Linked DNA regions of Arabidopsis thaliana. The protein of the gene in region 1 interacts with the protein of each later gene in a pairwise test. Each region holds a gene or a part of one and is shown on either strand. Other genes may lie near its edges.

What was found.
Region 2: the proteins of BCB (region 1) and GONST5 interact in a protein complementation assay, tested with the Arabidopsis thaliana proteins (one large-scale study listed by BioGRID).
Region 3: the proteins of BCB (region 1) and TBL36 interact in a protein complementation assay, tested with the Arabidopsis thaliana proteins (one large-scale study listed by BioGRID).

The regions. Positions count from the first base shown.
Region 1 is NC_003076.8:6,822,120-6,830,110, reverse strand, and holds BCB (blue-copper-binding protein), read right to left. Parts: upstream 3,747-7,991; 5' UTR 3,486-3,746; coding exon 3,314-3,485; intron 3,122-3,313; coding exon 2,703-3,121; 3' UTR 2,363-2,702; downstream 1-2,362. Other genes in the region: PI (K-box region and MADS-box transcription factor family protein), read right to left, coding at 654-908; AT5G20220 (zinc knuckle (CCHC-type) family protein), read right to left, coding at 4,340-4,740, 5,001-5,103, 5,203-5,295, 5,381-5,513, 5,592-5,680, 5,765-5,927, 7,590-7,645, 7,760-7,951. UniProt on the Arabidopsis thaliana protein: Probably acts as an electron carrier.
Region 2 is NC_003070.9:7,674,312-7,682,302, forward strand, and holds GONST5 (golgi nucleotide sugar transporter 5), read left to right. Parts: upstream 1-3,896; coding exon 3,897-4,010; intron 4,011-4,106; coding exon 4,107-4,356; intron 4,357-4,451; coding exon 4,452-4,659; intron 4,660-4,841; coding exon 4,842-5,073; intron 5,074-5,164; coding exon 5,165-5,386; 3' UTR 5,387-5,532; downstream 5,533-7,991. Other genes in the region: AT1G21864 (Plant thionin family protein), read left to right, coding at 1,254-1,535; AT1G21866 (Plant thionin family protein), read left to right, coding at 3,188-3,469; LYM1 (lysm domain GPI-anchored protein 1 precursor), read left to right, coding at 6,378-7,044, 7,356-7,473, 7,572-7,733, 7,825-7,856, 7,944-7,991. UniProt on the Arabidopsis thaliana protein: GDP-mannose transporter that may be involved in the import of GDP-mannose from the cytoplasm into the Golgi lumen.
Region 3 is NC_003074.8:20,080,900-20,088,890, forward strand, and holds TBL36 (TRICHOME BIREFRINGENCE-LIKE 36), read right to left. Parts: upstream 6,069-7,991; 5' UTR 5,847-6,068; coding exon 5,536-5,846; intron 5,350-5,535; coding exon 5,178-5,349; intron 5,093-5,177; coding exon 4,911-5,092; intron 4,754-4,910; coding exon 4,604-4,753; intron 4,523-4,603; coding exon 4,198-4,522; 3' UTR 4,072-4,197; downstream 1-4,071. Other genes in the region: AT3G54240 (alpha/beta-Hydrolases superfamily protein), read left to right, coding at 27-36, 129-391, 467-1,246; AT3G54250 (GHMP kinase family protein), read right to left, coding at 1,569-1,791, 1,896-2,020, 2,089-2,137, 2,237-2,394, 2,473-2,559, 2,825-2,969, 3,130-3,193, 3,277-3,475 and 1 more; AT3G54270 (sucrose-6F-phosphate phosphohydrolase family protein), read right to left, coding at 6,520-6,609, 6,706-6,752, 6,916-7,102, 7,256-7,546, 7,629-7,823, 7,921-7,991. UniProt on the Arabidopsis thaliana protein: May act as a bridging protein that binds pectin and other cell wall polysaccharides. Probably involved in maintaining esterification of pectins. May be involved in the specific O-acetylation of cell wall polymers.

The DNA.
Region 1 (7,991 bases):
TCAGAGCTAATTAATAATACATATAATATTTGCATCAAAATTTAATTTAAAAAGGATACTCAAAACTCAAAAGCAATTTTCAAGTTTTCAATTAGTTTTGAAAGCCAGAAACGTAAAATCAGTGTACTAATCAGAAATTCTCATTCCCAGATACATATCACATCCCAGATTTTTCTCTCAATTAATAACTCCATAAACTACGGATCTGATTCGCATAAGATTTGGTCTTGATGGTTTCAAAACACAGTTGGTTAGATATACTCTAGATTATACAAATTAAGCAGGAACAAAAGAAAAGAATAACTTCCATGTTTTGTGGCTCCATGTCTTGTTGAGTACAAGAAAATCAATAAAGACGCATGTTAGGCTACATACACAAAGAAACCTTTGTAGATCTGCATCTAGGGTTAGAGTATTTTTCTTTCTCTTTGACATATTTTAGGAAAAGAAAATTAAATAACCAATTTCATGATATCTAGCTCAGAATATATGTTTTTGAGACAAAACACTATAGTAGATCTGCATCTAGGGTTAAAGATTCAAGGGTCTTTTGACATGTTTTTGGTAAAGAAATTGAAAACTTATTACATGATTTTGGCCATGGAATATTTTTGAGACAAAGAAACTTTAGATTAAAAAGAGAGCAAAATTACCTCATGCTTAGCATCCCATAGTTTCTTGCCAGATAACTTCTGGTATTGGTCCAACATAGCACCAAGATCCATGGAAGGACAACAGTAATCAATCATCTTACCATTACTTGCAAAGATTATGAGGGCAACTTTTGCATCACAAAGAACTGTGATCTCTTTAGCCTTCTTCACCAATCCATTCCTCCTCTTTGAGAACGTCACCACTCTGTTGTTTGCGTTCTCTATCCTCTTTATCTCGATCTTTCCTCTACCCATCTTTCTCTCTCTATCTCTTTCTCAATTTTAGGGTTTGCTATGAAATTGTTAAGATATGGAGGAGAGGATATGTGGTTTATATGAAGAACAAGAAGAGGAGCATTGGTTTTAAAGTAACATTGATGAGATAGAGAGAGAAATGTTTTGATTAATCTTGAGGTGAAGAGAGACTTTGACAGTTTGGGATTGAAAACAAAGCTACTTTCTTGAGGGCACAGTCATGGAAGGCTTGCTTTTGGTTCGCTTATTACACATAGCCAACTCTATTTTCTCTCCTTTTTTTACAGTACCAAGAAGATAAAAAAAAAACTTGAAGTAACGTAATAAAATAAAGTAAAAACAAACTTAGTGATTTTGCTTAATGAACACTCTTTGCATGTGATTGATGTTTATTTTCTTTCATTTGATTTGATCATCTCAGTCTCTCTCGTGATAGGTTAAAGTGTCGTTTAATTAACCTCTGGTCTCTTCCGTACTATGTTTTCTTCAATGAACTGTGTAGAGAAAACAAATTCTAGATATCTGGAAAGATAAAATTCTTCATATGAAATGTGGTCAAACTTTTATTTAGCTTACTCGTGTATGTATATAATTAATTAAATTTAAATTTGAGAGGCAAACATGATAATACCATAATTTCTTATCCAACCACATATATCATCAATTAATTACTTTGGGAAACTATCTTATTATGTCATCAATTATATAAAACGTGAAATAAGATAGTGTCCCAATGATTTTGCAACTAAATCATTTTGCAAATAAATTTCCCATTTTGTCTATCTCGAAAACTAACCATTAAATCAAATGAAAGCAACGAGTTTTGCAACTTTGTAGATTTAAAACCAAAAATCTCTGTAAAGAATTGCTTTTATTTTTACAGGTTCTTACTTTGGCAAAACCAAGACTTGCTATTTCAAGAACTCTATGTCATATATAGGTCTTATCGAATATCGTAGCTACACTAAAAAATCAAACATATTAAATTATTGAAAGTTGAAGATATCACATTGACAAATGAAGTAAATAAAATAAAGTTAAATTCAGATGGTTTAGAAAAAGGAAAAAAAAAAAAGAAAAAGGAGCAGTGTAATTACCAAAGACCTTGGTATAACCATTAGACTTTATCATGCTTACATTGTTATGGGGAAAATGTCTTTGGTTGTTGAAAACAAAACAAGTTTATGGTTTTCTTGATTCACGTCGATCAGACACGTGTCAATTTATTGTGGAATTTTGTGGTCTTATGTTTTGTACTTAGTACGGGCATACTTTTTGGCATTTTCTCGATTATCAAACTATAAAGCCAGAGATTAAAAATCTCCACACACAAAAAAAAAAAAAAAAAAAAAAAAAAGTTGTGAATTCAGGTGAGAAACGTATCCACTGAAACAAAAATACCATATTGTTGGTATATTGAATTAGTAGATAACCTATGTCTTTTTAATATTATTCTAACTTCGGTTCACAATCAGGTAATGTTTACTCGTTGATTGAAAATATTGAGAAGGCAAATTTTGTCTAATTATACATGAAAACTAGACAAATTGGATGAAGAAGATGACTAATTTTCATGAAATATGGTAATATATAGTAGTAATCTCAATGATATTGAAACCCACTCTTTATTTTGCAACCGAATAATCATATATTGAAACTCAATACTAATCACAAGTATAAGACGTTTATAATGACTTGAAAACAAGTCCTTATTCTCACAAATAATCAAATACATGACTATTTAAATAAGGAGAGTAAGGTAAAACAAATACATAACTAGGTTTCGAGTGTGACTCAAAAGAGAGCAACAACAGCAGAAACAAAAGCGACCAGAAAAGTAGCACCACCTAATGAGGAAGCGGCATTTCCAGCTGGAGTAGTGGTTCCGCTAGAGCCTGAAGGTGTTGTGGTCCCACCCGCAGTGGGAGGAGTGGTTCCTCCAGTACTTGGGGTTGATCCAGGTGCTGGGGTAGCACCGGCACCAGGAGTAGCACCTCCAGTTGCACCAGCAGCAACTACAGTGATGGAAAGTTTTTGACCAAAACGACAATGGTCACCGACGGTGCAGATAAAGTATTGTGGTCCAGTGGTGTTTAGCATAATTTTGACCGGAGGAACGGTCATGTGGCTAATGGGTTTCTCTTTCTCACAGTTTTCAAATGCAGCTTCTGATACAACTGCCACATCATGCCTCCCAGCAGCGAAATCAAATTCTGTAATAAGAATATCAACATCAGTCGGTGGAAACTCAATTAATCCCTTTTTTAGCTAAAATATGTTCATAAGAATATAGAAAGAAAGACAGAACAACACCGACATGATCCATGCACGATCCCATAACTATGACTGTTATAAGAACAAGAAAAACAAAGACATATTTCAGCTATAAGAACAATAAAACTCACCGAGCTCGTCGCCTACACGGAAAGTTTTACCGGTAGCCCAAGTAGTATAGAACTCGGGGTCCATAGGTCTCGTCCATTCCGTATCATCACCAACATCGTAGTCCTCCGCGAAGACAACAACGGCAGCGAAAACCAAAACAAGAAACGTAACCGTTTTGAAAACTCCGGCCATTATGTTATGTGTTGAAGAACTCAGGTCACCCCCTTTTCTTTTCTTGGTCGAGAACTATATATGTCGTCTCTTAAAAGATAGTAAATGACCCCTTTTGATTTTTGTGTTTGTTGTGGTTTCAAAAGTCTTGCAAGAGAGACTTATATTTATAGGACAATTAAAGAGAGGCTCTCAAGGAGTCATACGCAAGATACGGGAAGACGCGTTACGTGTTGTGTCGTTGAACAAATCCAAATTTAGATATTATCACTTGTGGTCAATTTTGTCTGCTAAGTTTTTTTTGTCCACAATTGTTATTTTTAGCGCGTAAAGACATTGTACATTTGTAAATTTAGATCAAGTAAAAAACGTGACTAATTACTTTTTGGGTAATGATTATAAAATTTAGTGTTCAGACTAAATATAACTACCTAATAATAACCATCCGATATTAAGGCATCGAAGAATAGTAGCATACTAATGTTAGAAAAAACAAAGTGTTAAATGTGGATATGGATGAGATATTAGGTGTTTATAGCATTTATATGGATAAGTCGATAATTGTTCAGAAATTTCTAGGCTCGATTGTCTTTCTTTGCATGGGTCCGTTGTACCAATTCAGGTCGTATTCAAGAAAAATCAACCCAACAAGTATATATACTTGCACGTAAACGAATGCGGTCATAACCCGAAACCAAAAGCGGTCAAACTCACTTCAGTTTTTGTTTGAGTTTAGATAGTTCAAAAAAGACCAATCGGGACTCAAGTGATTGGTCCGATTATAAACCCGAAATATCCATCCGCTAAAAAGGACTTGTCAGTGATTGGTTATTTCAGCTTCAATAGCAAAACCAAGCCTAACCAAATAAACAGGTTCAAGAACCTTCTTGCTCTAAACAAGAATCACTGTCTGAAACTTGTTTACTTGGACAGGTTCTTACATTATGTCCCATTTTCTTGCAGAACCCACAAGCATACGTTATTTTACCAACACCATCTTCCCCGGAATTTTCACCACTGCAACTAGGATTCACTCCGGTCGGCTTCCGGCATGTTCTGCTGTTGTGACCTCTCTCACCGCATATTCCACATTTGTGATACCTAGTGGAAATGCCTTTAGTGACTATTGATTTCGACTTAGGACAAGTTCTACGGTTGTGGCCTTTCCCGCCGCAACCCCGACATCTAAATTTTCTGTCCGCATTAGTGCCTAGTTCTGGACAGTAATGGCGTCTATGGCCTTCCTGTCCACAGTTCTTGCAGTAAAACTTAGTTCCTGAATCAATGAGAGAAAAATGGTTCTTTTACCATTTCATAGCTTGCACATGGAACTGTCACCACAAAAGGAAATCAAATCGAAACCTACATTTCTACACTTCGAATCAACATTATATCTCAACTTTAAGTGACAAGCCTCAACCTAATTCATCACAGTGATCTCACATTATTGGAGAATGTAAACAGATAAAGCTCAAGAAACAAAAGAGTACTACATGGACCTAAACTCTGAAATTCTACCAAGAAACTGAGACTTACCTTTCATAGATAGGCTTCTCTGTTCACGGTTTACAGGGTTACTGAAGAAAGCTTTCATAGATTCGGATGCATGCTTTCTAGCAGCTGGTGTTCCTTTAGCTTTCTAGAACACAACAACACTAAGCAGATTCAAGGGAAAAAAACAACAAAACTTGTTCCATGTTAATTTAGGATATAAAACAAAATGGAGTAGATTACAGACCTTAATTGCAGCTACTCTTTGAGCATGAAGCACTGGATCACGATGTATAATCTTCATGCGCTTACTAAAAAGTCCAGTTTTGGCATTGAGACTCTATAAAAACCATAATTTGGACTGACTATGACAATTTCCCATGGAGAGAGTAGAATAACATGAAGTGTATATGAATGAAACTAACTTTTAGAGATCGGCTGATCTTTTGTCCAACTTCAGGAGTTGGTGACTGATAAATCCGCTTCGATTTTCGCCTTTTACTGAACTTTATCTCTAAATTATCAACCTCATCATCCTCCTTTACTCTAAATGGAGAACTGTGGCAGAAAAAAATGAGGTTTATTAGTCAAACATTAAACAGAATTAAGACTTCAACTCTTGAATAACAACACTACCTGGATCTAGCTTTCTCCCAAGGTCGTTCATCGATTGATTCTTCCCATATGACACAATCCCCCAAACATCTGAGACAAGTCATTATGCCCTACACAAATTTAAGCAAAGTTTCTATAACAAGGAAAGACTTTTGTTACTCAAAAGTTTAAAGTAATTTAATACTTTTAAGTACCTTTCCTTTGCATTGAGGGCAGTCTAATCGCGACCTCTCGATTCCGCAATTTGAACATGAAGTATAACCTCTTCCCCTACAAGTTGGACAAGGAAGCTCTCGAATGTACTGACCGTTAGGACCAAACCATGACCTTGGTTCACGCGAATCACCAGATATGAACCTGAATAAACCATCACCAAAAGCACATTTTTGAAGCTTAGCCAAATTGTGGATCATGTATTTTACCAACTATCAAGTACACCGACTTGACCAAGTAACAATATGTATTCCTTACTTTTTTAAGATTTTCTTTTTCTTTTTAGGAAATTATTAAGAGTTTTTTTTTTCCTCAAACTTCAAAGAGTTTCCATTTTGGCATTTTTTTTTTTTTCCTATTAGTAGAGTGCTTTGCTTTTACGTTTTAGTATAAATAAAGATAGGGTCTCGATTATGAGACTCATACAAGCTAGAGAGAGCTTTGAGTTTTATACGTTTTGGGTTTCTTTGAGTCTTGCAATAAAGAGAGCTTTTCGTGGGGTTCTGTGTGACCGTGATTGTTAACTACCTGCAAATAAGAACTTGAGGAATGACTACCAGTAGGATTGAGTCACGTTTGATCGCGATAGAAAAGTACCACAAGGCCTTGCATGAAGAATTTATTGGGTTTCATAAGAGACAGAAAGAGATCCAGGATGCTATTTTGGAGTTTACAAGGATGGTTTCGGCTTCAAAATCGTCGCATTCTAAACAAGAATCTGCAACTGTCCTTGAGGAGGACATTGAGATGCCAAGTTTTGATGGAGACCATCTCTTCATATGGCTAGAAATCATTGAAGTTTACTTTACTTTGCAACTCGCTCCAGAGGTTTGCAAGGTAGACACTGCATTCAGGAGTATGGAAGGTGATGCTCTACTCTGGTTACAATGTCTACGACAAGAGAACCCGACTTTAACATGGTCTCAACTAAAAACTGAGCTTATAGAAGAATTTGGAGGAGGAGATATTACGGCCTCTCCTGAAGAACAATTGGCATCACTTCGACAAACAGGATCCGTAGATGAGTACGCTAATGAATTCCGTGCTCGGGCAGCTCAAATAGGTAATAAGGACCAACTTGTAAAAGGCATGTTTCTTAATGGACTTAAAGAAGAAATCCGGGTGATGTTCCGACCAAACGATGCTGAAGGACCAGAGATGGCTATACGCACCGCAAAAGCAATCGAGAGAGAGTTGAATTTTAACAACCGAGCAAAGGGTAGACGCCAATATTCGTCGCACCAAGAATATTTTGACATGGAAGGAACAGGCCTTTGTTATCCCGGCTATCAGCCGTACTCCATCTTTGATGACTTCTGAGGATAAGGCAATCATGGATGGAGAGATACGTGCTATGTAAGAAGAATAGACTACACTACCACAGGAGCAAGCCTTGAGGACAAGACTTTACTTTGGGAGGCTGGAATGTTATGTTTTTTTCTTATTTTTATTTAGGATTTTCTATTTCTTGAATTTATGAAGGATTGTTTAATGCTTCCACTATTCTATTTTCAAGATTACTTCTACATCCATGCTTGTCTTTTACGTTTTAGTTTACTTATGCATCCATGCTTGGTTTTTCTATTTTTTTTTATGAAAGATTGTTTAGGACTTCCACTTGTCTGATCCTAACTCAAATAAGACATTGCAGGCAGATGCCAAAATTATCATACTCTTGCTTTTATAAAAGAATGAGAAAACTAGTGATTGTTTTCATTAAGAAGCTTCATAGTTGTTTTGAGTTTAGAGCTGTTTCATGAAATTGATCGTGAATTCAGTATAAAAGAGGTTTTGAAATTGTCTGACCTGGGCTTGAAATCAACACCAAAGAGTTCCTCTGAAGGATCATAACCCATCTGTCGCTGTTTCAAAGCAGGGGCAAAAGTGAAATTCCATCAATGTGAGTACAAACAAAGAGTGGAGAATTTTCGTATACGATTTGTAAGAGATAGAGAAAGGTTTTAATAATATAGTACGTTGTTTTGTCTGGAAGATGAAACTGAACCATCGTTGTTGTTGTCGGAAGAAGAAGAAGAAGAAGAAGAAATCGCGCGAGGAAAAAAGACGAATTTTGAGTTGGGATTGAGAAGGAACTGAAATCGGGTCTTCTTCTTTCTCATCCATTGTGGTGGCTGCAAAACCTGAAACCTAGCAAGAATCGAGCACATGAGGATTCAACAAACCCTGGTTACAAGTACAGTCAAGGAA
Region 2 (7,991 bases), on another chromosome or scaffold:
AAATAATATGTTAAGATTTGGCTAATTATATGCATATAAAACAATTTTCTTTTTCGAATATGAAACTATAATATTTTTGAACTATTTTTTTTATTGGTTTCAAAGAAACAAATCTAAATATTACGAATATTACAATATAATAGGTTAACTTTCCCAAAATGATAATTTCAGATCTATCGAAATGGACACATATCATAATGAGAATCCCAAAGATACTAATTATCAGAAGTCAATTTGAAAAAGAAAAACAAATCTTCTAATTTCTAGGAAACTAGCTACATTTCATTATACCTAATAGTTCATCATTTTCAAATTATATGTTTATAAAATTTTCAGACAATATAAAATAGTTACATTTTCTGTTTTACTTTTTATTAATATATTCAATAATTTTTATTCGTCAAGATATTAAAACAGAGACTAGAATTTTTACCAAACATCTACATTGAAAAACATAAACAAAACTTATTATGAAACAAATTTAAAGTTATAAACCCCCAATAAAACTGTAACAATATCGTTTAAGAAAATAATCGTTAAATATATAATGTTAATGTGGTTTAGTCAGGCATTATATTTTAAATAATTTGTGTAGGTAATTTTGATTAGGTATTTGAATTTAATAGTTTTATGGAAGAAAACTGGAGTTGTTAAAGAAATATGAATTTTAATTTTTAAATAAAGACTTTCAGATTGGACTAATATCATTCTATTTATCATTTTGGACATTAAATTCTTCAGTTTATTGTATGATAGCTAGATACGATTTGACCCTCTCCACGTAGAAATTCACTCTTTCCATTTTTTTTTTTCTTTTACCTCAAGTTCCACCACCGTATTGTATCGAGCCATCAATTGAAAGGTATGCATTCTTTACCATGTGCACATTACCATTTTCGTAACAAAAACGTGGTTACGAATTTAAAGAAGAAAATGCCACTAAGATACTTGTTGTACTGGCTAATATTTTTAATATGAGCTATTAATGTTACTATATTTATGCATAGCAAATAGTTGTTTAGATGACCAAAACAGTATAACACATTTATAAGTTGTCCAGAAATCAATCGATATATTTGCCAAAGAAAAAGAGACGAAAAAAAGTTGACCTCCTAATAGTTAGTTACTTCTAAAATCAGCTAAAACTATATTTACTATATAAATCATCCACATCAACCAACATTCTCACCAAATCATCTCGTTTCACCAAAAACATTACAATTTAAGATTTGCAGACTCACAATACTTACGACATGGCAGTTCAAGTGTCAAAGAAAATTTGTCGTGTATTGATGATTGTAATTTTATTTGCAATGATGTTTTCAGCTCATTCCAACTCGATAGATGTGTGTGTCAAAAATTGTGGCGTGAACCAGTGCATGAAAGCATCAAAGAAAGCGACTCCAGCTATATGTGACAACCCTTGCAAGATTATATGTGATCCTCTCAACAACGAGCGATACATCGTCCCTCGAGGTAATGGTGGTCCTATAAAAAGGTTCTGCAGAGCATTTAGCTGGATTTGTAGCGCGTAATTGATCGACATTACAAAAATTGTCTCCTTTCTTTATGCATATATTATATATTTATGTTTTTTTGTATCATTGTATTGATCCATATTTCAAGTACTTATGTATCCTTCTTCCATAATTTTATTATACCTAATACTCCCTCATTTTCAAATTATATTTGTTTAAAGTTTTTCAGACAAATTAAAATAATTACAATTAATTTCTGTTTTTCTTTTTATTAATATGCTATGATTTTTTATTCGTGAAGACATTAAAAAAAACTAAATTTTTAACCAAACATCTACATTGAAAAACATAACCAAAACTTATTATGAAACAAATTTTAAGTTATAAACGCCAATAAAGTTGAAACAATATAGTTTAAAAATAAAATAACTAAAATATATGATGTTAATGTGATTTAGTTAGGCATTAAGTTTCCATAATTTGTATAGCTAATTTTTTTTGAACATAATGTTAAATTATATTCAAAAATATATATATATATATATATATATATATATATCATGTTTACAACAAGTGCAACTGTTTTAGAAAGAAAGCTGAGAATATAGAGTTGTAAAAAAGAATTATGTAGGCATTTGAATTTAATAATTTTATGGAAAAAACTGAAGATGTTAAACAAATATGGATTTTATTTTTAAAATAAATACTTTCAATCAAATTATATTAGTCTTGAATTTATAGATTTTATGAAAAAAAAGTTTATTGTGTTTTCATGGAGGAAAATGACGATAAAGACAATATGAAAGAAAATTATGTTTACAAATGTACATATTTACCTGGGAGGAGTCATATTAAATGATCTAATCCGCCTTAGTGTATTGTATGTATCTAGAACCTCTTACTTATTCATAAACAAAAGTACATATTTTCCTTACGTTTTCTTATAAACAAATGTACATAATTTCCTACTTATATATATATATATATGTATTCAACTCAAAAATTATAGACAAAACAAAAGGATTACGTATTCTTTTTGTTCCTGATGAATCTTTCACCATATTTAAGAAAAACTATAGGTTTGAAAGAAAGAATGTACCCCGATGATCGCCAAAATATTTAAATCACATGAAAAATAACAATGTGATTTAGTTAGGCATTGAGTTTTTAGGATACTTTTGGTGGAATTGTTATTTTTCATTTTTAAAAAAGGAAAGATTTTTAGTGTCCAATGATAAATTCAATGATCTTAAAAAATTATGTACAGTGAAAGGTAATCATTCCTTGTTAACGGTATGTATTCTTTACCATGTCATGTGCATATTACGATTTTCGTAACAAAAACGTGGTCACGAATTTTAAGAAGAAAATGCCACTAAGATATGTGTTGTACAGGCTAATATTTTAAATATGAGCAATTAGTGTTACTATATTTATGCATAGCATGCAAATAGTTGTTTAGATGACCAAAACAGTATAATACATATAAGTTGTCCAGAAATCAATCGATATATTTGCCAAGAAAAAGAAACGAAAACAAGTTGACCTCCTAATAGTTAGTTACTTCTAAAATCAGCTAAAACTATTTTTACTATATAATCAACACAACATTCTCACCAAATCATCTTGTTTCAAAACCACAACAAAAAGAAAAAAGAAAGAAAAAAAACATTACAATTTAAGATTTTCAGACTCACAATACTTACGACATGGCAACTCAAGTGTCAAAGAAAATCTGCAGTGTATTGATGATTGTAATTTTATTTGCAATGATGTTTTCAGCTCATTCCAACTCGATAGATGTGTGTGTCAAAAATTGTGTCGTGAACCAGTGCATGAAAGCATCAAAGAAAGCGACTCCAGCCATATGTGCCAACCCTTGCAAGATTATATGTGATCCTCTCAACAACGAGCGATACATCGTCCCTCGAGGTAATGGTGGTCCTATAAAAAGGTTCTGCAGAGCATTTAGCTGGATTTGTACCGCTTAATTGATCCACATTACAAAAAATTTGTCTCCTTTCTCTATGCATAAGTTATATATTTATGATTTTTTGTATCAATGTATCGATCAATATTTCAAGTATTTATGTATCCTTCTTCCATAATTTTTTATCTTTAACAATATTTACTTGTATACGGAAAATTTGTTAAAAATCTAATTATTTATATTTATATATGTAACAACTGAAAATTGGTAACTTGTATAAGCATAATTTATGCTGCATAAACATATTTGCATTTAACTACACGGAAACTTACTAAAGAGAAAAAGAGAATTCTCGCATATAAAACAGAACCGTTACTCTGTTTCTCTTGGCGCTTTAATTAGGGTTTCTTATTTAGCTTTTGCATTGCCACATTCCTAAAGGTTTCATCTTTTGGATCCTTCTCTGACTCACTTCTTAAAACCCATCAATGGAGGAAGGAAGTCTGTGGCGTCAATGGACTATGTTCAGATCTCTGTTATCGATTCTTCAATGGTGGGGTTTTAACGTTACTGTTATCATCATGAACAAATGGATCTTTCAGGTTTAAAAAGTCTCTTACTTTTATCATTAAAGACTTAGCCTTTCGTTTGTTTTATCTGATCTGCGTTTGAAATTTGGTACCTTTCCTTGTTTGCAGAAACTGGATTTCAAGTTTCCATTATCAGTTTCATGTGTTCATTTCATATGTTCGTCGATTGGAGCATACATTGTGATTAAAGTCTTAAAGCTTAAACCTTTGATTGTGGTTGATCCAGAAGATAGGTGGAGGAGGATTTTTCCAATGTCATTTGTGTTCTGTATCAACATTGTGTTGGGGAATATTAGTCTTAGATACATTCCTGTCTCTTTTATGCAGACTATCAAATCTTTAACTCCTGCAACAACAGGTTTAGGGTTTTTTTAAGATTGAGAATTTTTCAAAATAAAGTGATTTTTTTTTATTGTTCTGATTGGTTTTTGTGTAATGGTTTTTTGAGTGCAGTTGTGTTACAGTGGTTGGTATGGAGGAAATATTTTGATTGGCGTATTTGGGCGTCATTGGTGCCTATTGTTGGAGGGATTCTTCTTACTTCTATTACAGAACTTAGCTTTAATGTGTTTGGATTCTGTGCTGCTTTGTTTGGATGTTTAGCTACCTCTACAAAGACCATTCTTGCAGAATCTCTTCTTCATGGATACAAATTTGACAGGTCAATGTTCTGTTTCCTGAGGTTTTGATCTTCAGTTTCACATGATAGGTGTTGAATGTGTGAAACTTACATTTGGTTTCAATGACATGCCATGCTCTCATAGTCCAATACTTGATTTGCTTTTTCATATTTCATGGAACTGAGTGTTTGTGTCCTCCTCATTTTCATGTCTCTCTATGTAGCATAAACACGGTATACTATATGGCGCCTTTCGCGACCATGATTCTCGGGTTACCTGCATTTTTACTAGAAAGGAATGGAATTTTGGATTGGTTTGAAGCACATCCATCTCCATGGTCGGCTCTCATAATTCTTTTCAACTCAGGTGTTCTAGCTTTCTGTCTTAACTTCTCCATCTTCTATGTCATTCAATCCACAACAGCAGTCACATTCAATGTAGCTGGAAACCTTAAGGTAAATGAACAAATCCCAAACCACATAACATTAATCTTTATATTCTAGTTTCAATAACTCAGATGTTTGATGGATGGTATGTGATTTGCAGGTTGCAGTAGCTGTGTTTGTTTCATGGATGATATTTCGAAACCCGATATCACCGATGAATGCTGTTGGCTGCGGAATCACACTTGTGGGCTGCACCTTTTACGGATATGTAAGACACATGCTTTCTCAGCAACAACCCGGAACTCCTAGGACTCCTCGTACCCCAAGGAACAAGATGGAACTGATCCCTCTTGTTAATGATAAACTCGAGAGTAAAATTTGAATATCATCGGTAAGTCACTAGACTATTGAACGCACACAAAGAAGTTAGATTTGATCTTGAACATCCACAAGAGAGTTATAGTTTAACTATATGTTTATTTTTACTCAAACTAGAGAAGTTAGAGAAGTGCCATTTTATTTGTTTCCATTGTATTAAATTATCTATCCTCATCAAACCAACTCAGAGATGACCACAAAGATACTTAAAGCAGGCCCATTTTTGTATTCAATTATGGTAGTGCTTTCACTTACCTCAGCTTTTTAATTTTTCCTTCCAATTTTGTTTGTGCCATAGTGCCATGTTCTAACATCAGAGACTTAATACATGACAAAATGGTGCAAGTTTGGGAATCTTTGAAAGAAGATGAAAATAGAAAGTTAATTTGACAATATATAAGAAATGATTATTCATTTTCCCGCCTTGATACATGAAAGAGCTTAAGACGGTGTTTAAGGGAAACGAATATTTTAGCTCTCAAAACAGCTCATCAAATTCGTTGCTTTAGCTTCTCAAAAGTAAAAAATGGGCTTTTTCAAGTGGGCCTCAACTTATGTTGCTGAATTTACCGCCATATCCTTCCCTTACAAAAAATCAATTTTCAAAAAATCTTCATGCTACAGTAGTCTGAAACCAGGTCAAAGGAGTTAAAGAGAAAAGGGCAAAACAGTCAAACAGCATAAAAAGATGTCTGTGTCTTGGAGATCGCAAAGCTACCGTTTTCTGTTCACTCTGTACAACACACTTGTCTCCTTCTTCCTCTCTTCTCTTCTCTCTCTCCATTTCAAAAAGGGTGAAACTTTTCTTCTCTTTCTAGAAGAAGAAAACCAGAGATACAGAGAGATTCTCTCTCTACCAAACCCCTGGAAAAATCTCCAGATTCATCTTCCATAGACCAAACTAAACTCTGTTCACTGTACTCTCTGTCATTGTCCTGTAAGAGAAATTGAAAACCCTAGGAGATTTTGAATTTCGTAAAACCCTAAACACAAAAATGAAAATCCCAGAAAAACCCATCTTCTTAATCTTCGTCTCTTTGATCCTAGCTTCGAGCTTAACCTTCACAGCGACAGCGAAATCAACAATCGAGCCTTGCTCAAGCAACGACACTTGCAACGCTTTACTCGGCTACACACTCTACACCGACCTCAAAGTCTCAGAAGTCGCATCTCTCTTCCAAGTAGACCCAATCTCTATCCTTTTAGCTAACGCCATCGATATCTCTTACCCAGACGTCGAAAACCATATCCTTCCTTCGAAGCTCTTCCTCAAAATCCCAATCACTTGCTCCTGCGTCGACGGAATCAGAAAATCTGTCTCTACCCATTACAAAACCCGACCTTCTGACAATCTAGGATCGATTGCTGACTCTGTTTACGGAGGCTTGGTCTCTGCTGAGCAGATCCAGGAAGCTAACTCGGTGAATGACCCGTCGCTGCTTGATGTTGGGACTAGTCTTGTTATCCCCTTGCCTTGTGCTTGTTTCAATGGCACCGACAATTCTTTGCCGGCTGTTTATTTGTCGTATGTTGTGAAGGAGATTGATACATTGGTCGGAATCGCGAGGAGGTATTCGACTACTATTACTGATTTGATGAATGTGAATGCTATGGGAGCTCCTGATGTTAGTTCTGGAGATATTCTCGCTGTTCCTTTGTCAGGTCAGGTCTACACAATCTTTAAAAGTTGTATCTTCAGATGTTTGTATAATGGGAAGTAGTTTCTATTGTTAGTTGTTGGTTGCCAAATTGGGATTTTTGGTGTAGCTTTGTGGACTTTTGATTGTTTCTTTCATTGCTGGTTGATTGTTTTCTGGGTTTTGAATCTCATTAAGGTATTGTTTTTGGCATTGAATGAGTTTGAGCTACCAAAAGTTTCCCTCTTTGTGGTATTTTTTTGGCTGAGTTTACTTTTGGTAAGGGAGCAATTACAGATTATTAATGTTTGGTTCTGTATCTTTACCTTCTCTCAGCTTGTGCTTCAAAGTTCCCCAGATACGCTTCGGATTTCGGATTGATTGTTCCAAATGGTAGCTATGCTCTAGCTGCAGGTCACTGTGTGCAATGCAGCTGTGCGCTTGGGAGCCGCAAGTAATTATATCTAAGCTTTATTATTTGATATGACTAATCAAATTCATCTCTGATTGCATTTTGACTCACTTGTGTTGTGTGTGGGTGATGTGATGCAGTTTGTATTGTGAGCCTGCTTCCCTAGCCGTCTCTTGCTCAAGTATGCAGTGTAGAAACAGCAACCTCATGCTCGGTAACATCACGGTGCAGCAGACTAGCGCTGGCTGTAATGTTACAACTTGTGATTACAACGGTATAGCCAACGGCACTATCTTAACCATGTAAGTAGAAATACATTCACTTTGTCTTCTCCTCTTATCAACATACCCCTACTAATGATTCGAAACTATTTCCTTCTCTTTCGTTTTATAGGCTGACCAGGTCTCTTCAACCTCGATGTCCCGGTAAGTTCTTTTTAAACCATGTTATCTTTGTAAGGGAAATCATGTGCTAGAATTCGGTCTCATGTAAGTGCAATGGTAAAAATGCAGGACCTCAACAATTTGCGCCGCTTCTAGCTCCACCAGATACTGTTCCTA
Region 3 (7,991 bases), on another chromosome or scaffold:
AACTTTTTTATCAAGGTTTTTTCAACATGAAGAAATGTGAGTTTTTGATTGATTCAAGTAAACGTAAGTTTTGCAAAAGGGATGAAGGAAATGTGATCACTGATTTATTGATTTGAATATTTTGATAGGGTTAATAACAGGAGCAGTGGTAATAGTGTTGATTGGATTAGGGGCATGGGCTATTGTTTCCATTACACCTCCACCTCCTAAGAGATGCGGAACCCCAGGTGGACCGCCTATTACCGCCCCTAGGATACGTCTCAGCGATGGCCGTTATTTAGCCTATGAAGAACATGGAGTTAGTAGACAAAATGCCACTTTCAAGATCGTCTTTATCCATGCATTCTCGACATTTAGGCGTGACGCTGTTATCGCCAACCGTGTTCGCCCTGTAATGATTTGATATCTTTCTCTCTTACTATTTCTCTTATAGAGTATTTCTGTAATTGCATTGTTTGTCTCTCAGGGCTTTCTCGAGAAAAATGGCATCTACGTGGTTTCATATGATCGACCTGGTTATGGAGAGAGCGATCCTCACTCGAGTCGCAATGAAAAGACTTTAGCTCATGACGTTGAACAACTTGCTGACCAACTACAACTTGGTTCCAAATTTTACGTGGTTGGATACTCAATGGGAGGTCAAGCCGTTTGGGGTGTTCTCAAATACATTCCTCACAGGCTCGCAGGAGCGACACTGCTTTGTCCTGTGACCAACTCATGGTGGCCGAGTTTCCCAGATAGTTTGACATGGGAGCTATGGAACAAACAATCAAAATCCGAAAGGTTTTCGATGCTCATTACTCATCACACTCCATGGCTACTCTACTGGTGGAACAATCAAAAGCTATTTTCAACAACAGCTGTGATGCAATCAAGCCCCAATATGTTCTCTCCTCAAGATCTTGCACTACTGCCCAAACTCGCCGCAAGGGTGTCTTACAAGAACCAAACAACACAACAAGGGACACACGAATCACTTGACCGAGACCTGATTGTTGGATTTGGGAAATGGAGTTTTGACCCTATGAAGATCGAGAATCCGTTCCCTAAGGGTGAAGGTTCGGTACATATGTGGCAAGGGGATGATGATCGGCTCGTCCCGATACAACTACAAAGGATCATTGCTCAGAAACTAACTTGGATCAAGTATCATGAGATTCCAGGTGCTGGTCATATTTTTCCGATGGCTGATGGGATGGCAGAAACTATCTTAAAAGAACTCTTGCCTATTCCTCAATCATCTTAAATTCAATTTTACATATGTTTAGATAATCAAAAAAAAAGTTGTACAGTTTGTCTCCACCCCAAAAAAATAGTATTGCTCTGTTCCTCATGAATAAATTTCATTTCATTTTATTTTTTTGCGTCTTTTAAAGTATTTACTGCAGCGCAGTAAAAAGATTTTTCTCTGGTAAAACAAAACCAATGAATTTCTTTTATTTGGAAATAGGAAAGCTAATAGTTAGATGACAACGTACCTGCACCTATTCTGCCACATATATCGTATCTTAAACTTGCAGTTAAAGGAGATGCTAATCATAATAATTAGTTTGAAGCAGAGAGAATGCTCACTTAGGAAGGCCTGTTTCAGGATCGAGAAGGGCTTGAGTTTGGTCGTGAAGCACGATGGGACCTTTTCCAGGTCTAGTGCAGATAAAATAACTGACTTCTCCTTTTTGATCCTGAGATCCAATGTTGTCTTTAATTTCAGGTGGAGGTTGCAGATTCTCTACACCACTTGCTCCATCTAATCCTGCTTCTTTTAGAATTGAATTATCGCCCACTACGTAACTGGTAAATAAAGAAACCAAAATCATTACAAACAGCTTTTTAGTCAATTTTAAAACTCATAGAAAACCGCAGTTAAACGGATCACACATTGTTCTGTGTCTCACCTCTTCATATCAGTGTCTGACTTAGGGGGAAAATAGTACAGAAGCCCCTGGAGCAATTGGACTGCGACCTTTCTGTTGCGTGCAATCAGTACAGCATTTGGACCAGCATCAAATGTGTAAGCAACCTGTACAGATTTACATTTTGAGTTATTAGTTGTTTTCAAAAGGTTGAGTCAAGACACTAGAACTTTACCTGTGGTGTCCCTTCAGAACGGTTCCACTTTTCAACTAAGCTAATTATTCTGGAAAAGCAGATAACAGTTTGATATATTAGAATAAATAAGGGTTTGATAACAAATAAACTGAAGCAGCATATAGAAATATGTCAAAATAGAGAATACCTGTGTGAAGTGTCATTCATGTAGAATATGGGTGGAGATGTATCCAGACAAACAGCATGAAACTGATTACTATCTGTACATGTCAATTGTGTAAACGATGCAAAGTCTCGATTTTTTATAGCTTCCTCCATTTGCAAAATCCGTTTTGGCACAACTTCCTATAGATAGAGAAAAAACAAAGGATGAAGTTTAATAGGTAATACAGAAGTTCATTAAACATCAAGAACAGAACGTACTTTTGCTCTATGCTGTAAAAGCAAACTTGTCTCAACACTTTCACGCATTCCGGAGGTACTGCTCGTTTCCTTCTGCCGTGAACTCACCTGTTATAAAAAGTTTGAATGAAGGCACTAAATTTTAACAGATTTCTGACCATTCGAACTTGTCCATAATGCTATATTCACACGTTGAAATAGAGCAACTCAAAATCTTGTCGTGGAAATACTTATTTATATATCTCGTTCAATCAAATAGTATGACGACAGTAAAAGTAACATATGGTTAATTTGAAAAACAGCATGATCTGGAAGATGGGAGAGTCGGAGTAATCCTGCCAAAAAGTCACAATATTTTTTAAAAGAGCCATACCACAGCAATGATGATAACAAGATCATCCCAATGCTTCTCATCTGCCAGTTGAACTGCAACGCTGTCACTTCCATCTTCTTTGCTTCCCATTGTCCACTTGACAAATCCACCAAATAAACTCCGGCAAGCACTTCCTGAACCTTGCCTACATGAGCAAACAGAAATCAAACCATGAATATCAGTACCATTTAATTCCTAGAGGAGTGTCAGATTTCACTTCACTATCACAACTCATGCATTAGTAGATGACTATACATAAATCAAAGCATTGATATATAGTGCAAGGAAGTCCACTACATAGGTACCTGGCTATTGCAGAAAGATGGCTTGGATCTTCATCTACATTCATCAACTTTGCAAGAGAAAAAACTGTAGGCAAAAAAAACAGTTTGACATAAACTACAAGCCATTCTCAAGCTCATAATCATCAACAGAGAGAAAAAGCAGAATACCTAGACAAGCAAATCCAGCAGCTGAAGATGCTAAGCCAGCAGCAGTAGGGAAGTTATTATGAGAAGCAATATGTAGATTCAATTTCTCCCAATCTTTCTTCCTTATCTTGATCCCCTTTTCCATGTCTTCAACATCACCAGCACGACCTCGTATTTCCCTCAAACAATTTTGGTACCTACTTCCAGAAAGAGATATTTCCTACACTAACATGAAACAACAACAACAACAAAAATCTTTGTAATTCGATAATTGGAATCTCAGCAAAAGGAGAGAGATCGTGATGGGAAATGAAGCGAGTGTACCTTGCCATTGAGCCACATTCGATCCCGATCAAAAGCAGGACTAACGGCAACAGTGGTGACTGTGCAGAGATGATCAGGATCAAGAGTTACGCTAATGCTATCGTTAACGGGGAGAATCCGAACCTCATCTCTCTTTCCCCAATACTTAATCACCGCAATGTTCGTCGGAGTTTGCGCCGTCACCATGAACACCCATTTCTCCGTCGCCATGTGAATCTCCAAAAGAGATCTGCAGCTTCAAAGTAGTTGAAAATGAAAGCGACGGAGAATACGACAGAATAATGATGACTCATTGCCTTTACAATTTTAAAAATATTATTTTATTCAAAAATTGAGAACTTCACTAACTGTAAAACTCTAATCAAATGGTTATTGCCATTTTGATGAAAACACCAAAACTTAACCTAAAACGTTTTAGGAAAAAAATTGAGTTAGGTAAGAAATAACCAAAACACGAAAATCATTGTGATGCATGAACTTTATGCTTAAAGGCCTTTGAGTTGTCTTGTCTTTGATATTGGGATATTTGTTAGCTGGGAAAGGATATGTAATATATAAACCACTGATTCATATAAGTAACACCATTGTTCATGAGTAAAAACAGACTCTTATTATAGCTCATACAGCATTGGTTAAGATAATTGAAGAAAGCATCTCATTCCAAATATCCGGGACACCGGGCAAGCACCAATGACTGCAATCTGATGAAGGTCCAGCGATACGATGGTGCTTCTCTTCCTCGTGCATTGCTCTCTTGAACACCGAAGGATGACCGTCTCTTCTATACGCAGACATTGTTGTGATATCGTATAAATACACTCGGTATTTCATTGTCCTTAGCACTTTGTTCAACACTCTTGACTGTTGAGGCACGTGGGGTTTGGTGGAAGAAGATAAAGAAGGCAAGGGATGTTTCTGGTTGTAGCACATCTGACCACTCTCTCTGCCAAGAATTTATGTACATGAATTAATGGTGTCCATTTTGTATATATGTTGAGATTAAGAGGAGAATATAAGAAAAAACCTCGGTGAGACAGTGCGGAAAATGACTTTTGTTTTGGATGGATCAAGATTTATCTCAACCCATTTAGCCCATGTGGTTAGTCCTCTCTCATAAGCAACCATTGGGTCCATAGCTTTGAAGATCTTATTCCCATCCATGTAATAATCCCACCTAAAACATCAATAGCTTGCGTTACTGTCACAAATCCCAAATCTGATGTAAAATGAGACACAATAACAAATACAATGAACATAGACGTCTATGAACCGTTATACACTAATCATTTGCTTTTGAAGGAAAGATGTAAGTGTTTATTCAGATGACTTACGAACTCCATCTCTGAGAGTGAGTCCACCAGTGAGCGGAATCGAATACAAGAACATCTACACCACGCCAATATCTAGCATTGTCTTCGATTGAGTCCAAATGTAACACCCTTTTACGGTCAACTCCTCTCTTGAGTTCCACAAGCAGAGGAGCCCAACAAAACTCAATTGATGTCTCAAAATCCTGTATAGTAACCAAATTTAATAGTTGCATCTACTAACCAATGATGTATATGTGATTCAAAAGGAGATTTGTGATTATTAATTACCAGAGAATGGAAAGACATCGTAGGACCATTGTAAGTGAGCTTCTTACGATGAGTGGGAAGAACAGACTGTACTAAGCAGACAAGAGATTCCCACTGGTTTCTCATCATTGAATCTCCAACCAGCATTATTCTTTTTCCTCTCATTTTCCCAAGAAATTTCAATGCGTCAAACCTAAACACCATCATGGAAAGAGCCACTATTTTGGTTAATATTAATGTCTCTTTCCCATTTTTCATTAGTCAATTTATTCATCTTGCAATTAACCATGCAAAGCCAATATAAACCAACTTTTTTACTTGATGAGACAGAAATTTTAAAAAGAAGTAATGTAAGAAGTAAGAGGAGTGTGGAGTGTGCCTTGGTAGTGAACAAGCCTTAGGGATCCATCTCCATTTCTGGTAATAAGAGTCGGGTCTTCCATTTCTTTGGCAACTTAGTGCAGAACTCAGATATGGACAGCTTGAATCATAGAGCGGATACGTTTCATCGAACGTCCATTTCCCCACCGAGTAATCACACCTCTCCTCTCTTCTTTCACGCCTCGTCTGCAAGGCGTTGAGTGGATCATCGTCCCCTACTAGCCATAACTCATCAAACTGAGACAAAACTACTTTGCCAAGGATGAGACACAAAGATAAGAACAAGACTCGAGTCTCTGAGGTAGCCATTTGACCAGGAAACTGAGCAGTGTGGGCTTGGAGAAAGAAATAATATAAAGAAGATGGGCAACAAAAAGTGGATAAAGTGAAAAAGGGCGTTAATTACGGAAAGTGGTGGTAATTAGTAATTAGACTTATGCTTGAAATCATGTCCCGTGACTTGCGTCTCCTCTTCTCTCCATCATATCATTTTTTTATAAAAACAGATTACAGTATCCAAGGCGGGATTTGTGAGTTTGGTGGAGCGTTTTGTATATGGTTTAAAAAATCGAAATAGTTTCTCAACAAAAACAAACAGAAATAGTAGAAAACAATCCATATAAACCAGAAAAAAGAATTGCAAATCAAACACAATGGTAGGTTTTGTAAGACTAAAGAAATGTAGGTTTTGTTGTAGAGACCCAAAACTCTCCCTGCCCTCAAAAGGTCATGAACAGACCAAATTCAGGACCCAACCTTCCTTATTAATAGTTTTAAGTTAACCCAAATATGTAAAAAAGTATTAATGAAACGAAACCAAGACATGGCAACACCTTCTTCAGCTTTTAGTATCCTTCATGCTTTATCAAACTCACACCATCCCCAAACAAACATAACACAAAACAAACACTATGCTCTTTGGTTAGCTTCTGTCCCAAACAGATGTCATCTTTAGTATGTCAGTCGAGATTAAGATAATCCTTTAGAAAATCCATTTTTCTTGATCATCTGAAGAAGATTCATCTAACCATGATTGGTGGATGTGCATCCACGTCAGCCTTTGCTTTTCCTCCTTTCAATTTTAACCCATTTTCAGTTATTTTTTTCCAATATTATTTAACCAATCTAATCGTTTGAAATCTTAAAAGGATCATAAATCAAGGTTTACCTTATAACTCAGTAAGACTTTTGTTGAACAAGACCGTACTTTTCCCTCTGTAAACACGAGCTAGACATTAGAACATGGAAGCAAACTTCTACAGTATACCCTTATGATGAGAAATCAAACAAATCAGTTGATCGTATTTTCTGCTAAATCATTTCCTAGCTCGATAAGTCACAAGTATAAGCCATGTAATTGAAGAACAAGATTTCTTACCAGATAACTCATGCTTTACAAATTTTGCAAGCCATGTATCTGAACTGATATGAGAAGACGTAACATTATCCAACCAAATGCGAAACTTCTTTTCCTTCCCATCACCGTATAAATTTTCCATCTCATCTATCCATTCATGTATCGGTTTCTCCACTCCAGACGGATGAACAAAAATACCAAGTGGACTCTGAAACATTGCAAAAGCATAACAATTACGTCAACTAATAAGTCTACACAACACAAGCAATCAAGAACATCTTCAAAATTATCAATTTGAGCACTTGAATTTCCATTACGTTAGATGCTAGAGAGCTTTTTTTTGTCAAATAAACACACTTACAGAGAGCGATTTCAAATTCTGCAAGTACTTGTCAGACTTTTCCACCTCTCCACAACGCCATCTCTCATAAAACAAATAAAACTGAACAACCTCATGAGCAGGATTCAAACTTTCCCCATGGAAATTTTCAGTGTCCATAACATCTCTAGGAGAGACATTTGGTCCCAAATTAAACCTCTGAATAGCTTCTATCATACCAGCTCCACACCTCTCAGACGCATGAAATATTTTTGGGTTGTCCTTTGCATTTTCTTCATACCATTGCAATAATTCTTCATGCGAATTGCTAACCTTAAACAGTAAAAATATAAGCACAATCACTCACGCGTAGTCAAGTATGATCGAACCTAAAAAAAAGTAGTTGGGAACTAACCATTACGCCATATACGTCAGAAATGTTGAAAAGCTCAGCATCATTTCCAGAGTCACCACAAACAAGTGTGTTAGAAGGCTGCTTGCCTTCAATATCCAACTTGTCAAGTAGATATGTCAAAGCACCTTGTTTGCCAGCTCCTCTTGGTAATACATCAAAAGCATATCCATTACTATAAACCAGCTTCACATCCACCTATAATGAATTTTACTGTCATCAGCACCAAAAGTAACAATCTATGATAAGAATGTAGCCATCAAGCTCACATAAAGAGTACACACAAAAATCTCACCCCACGCTCCTCTAATATCCCTGGAAGAACCTTCATTATTTCAACAGCGTCTTCTCTTCCCACGAAAAAAC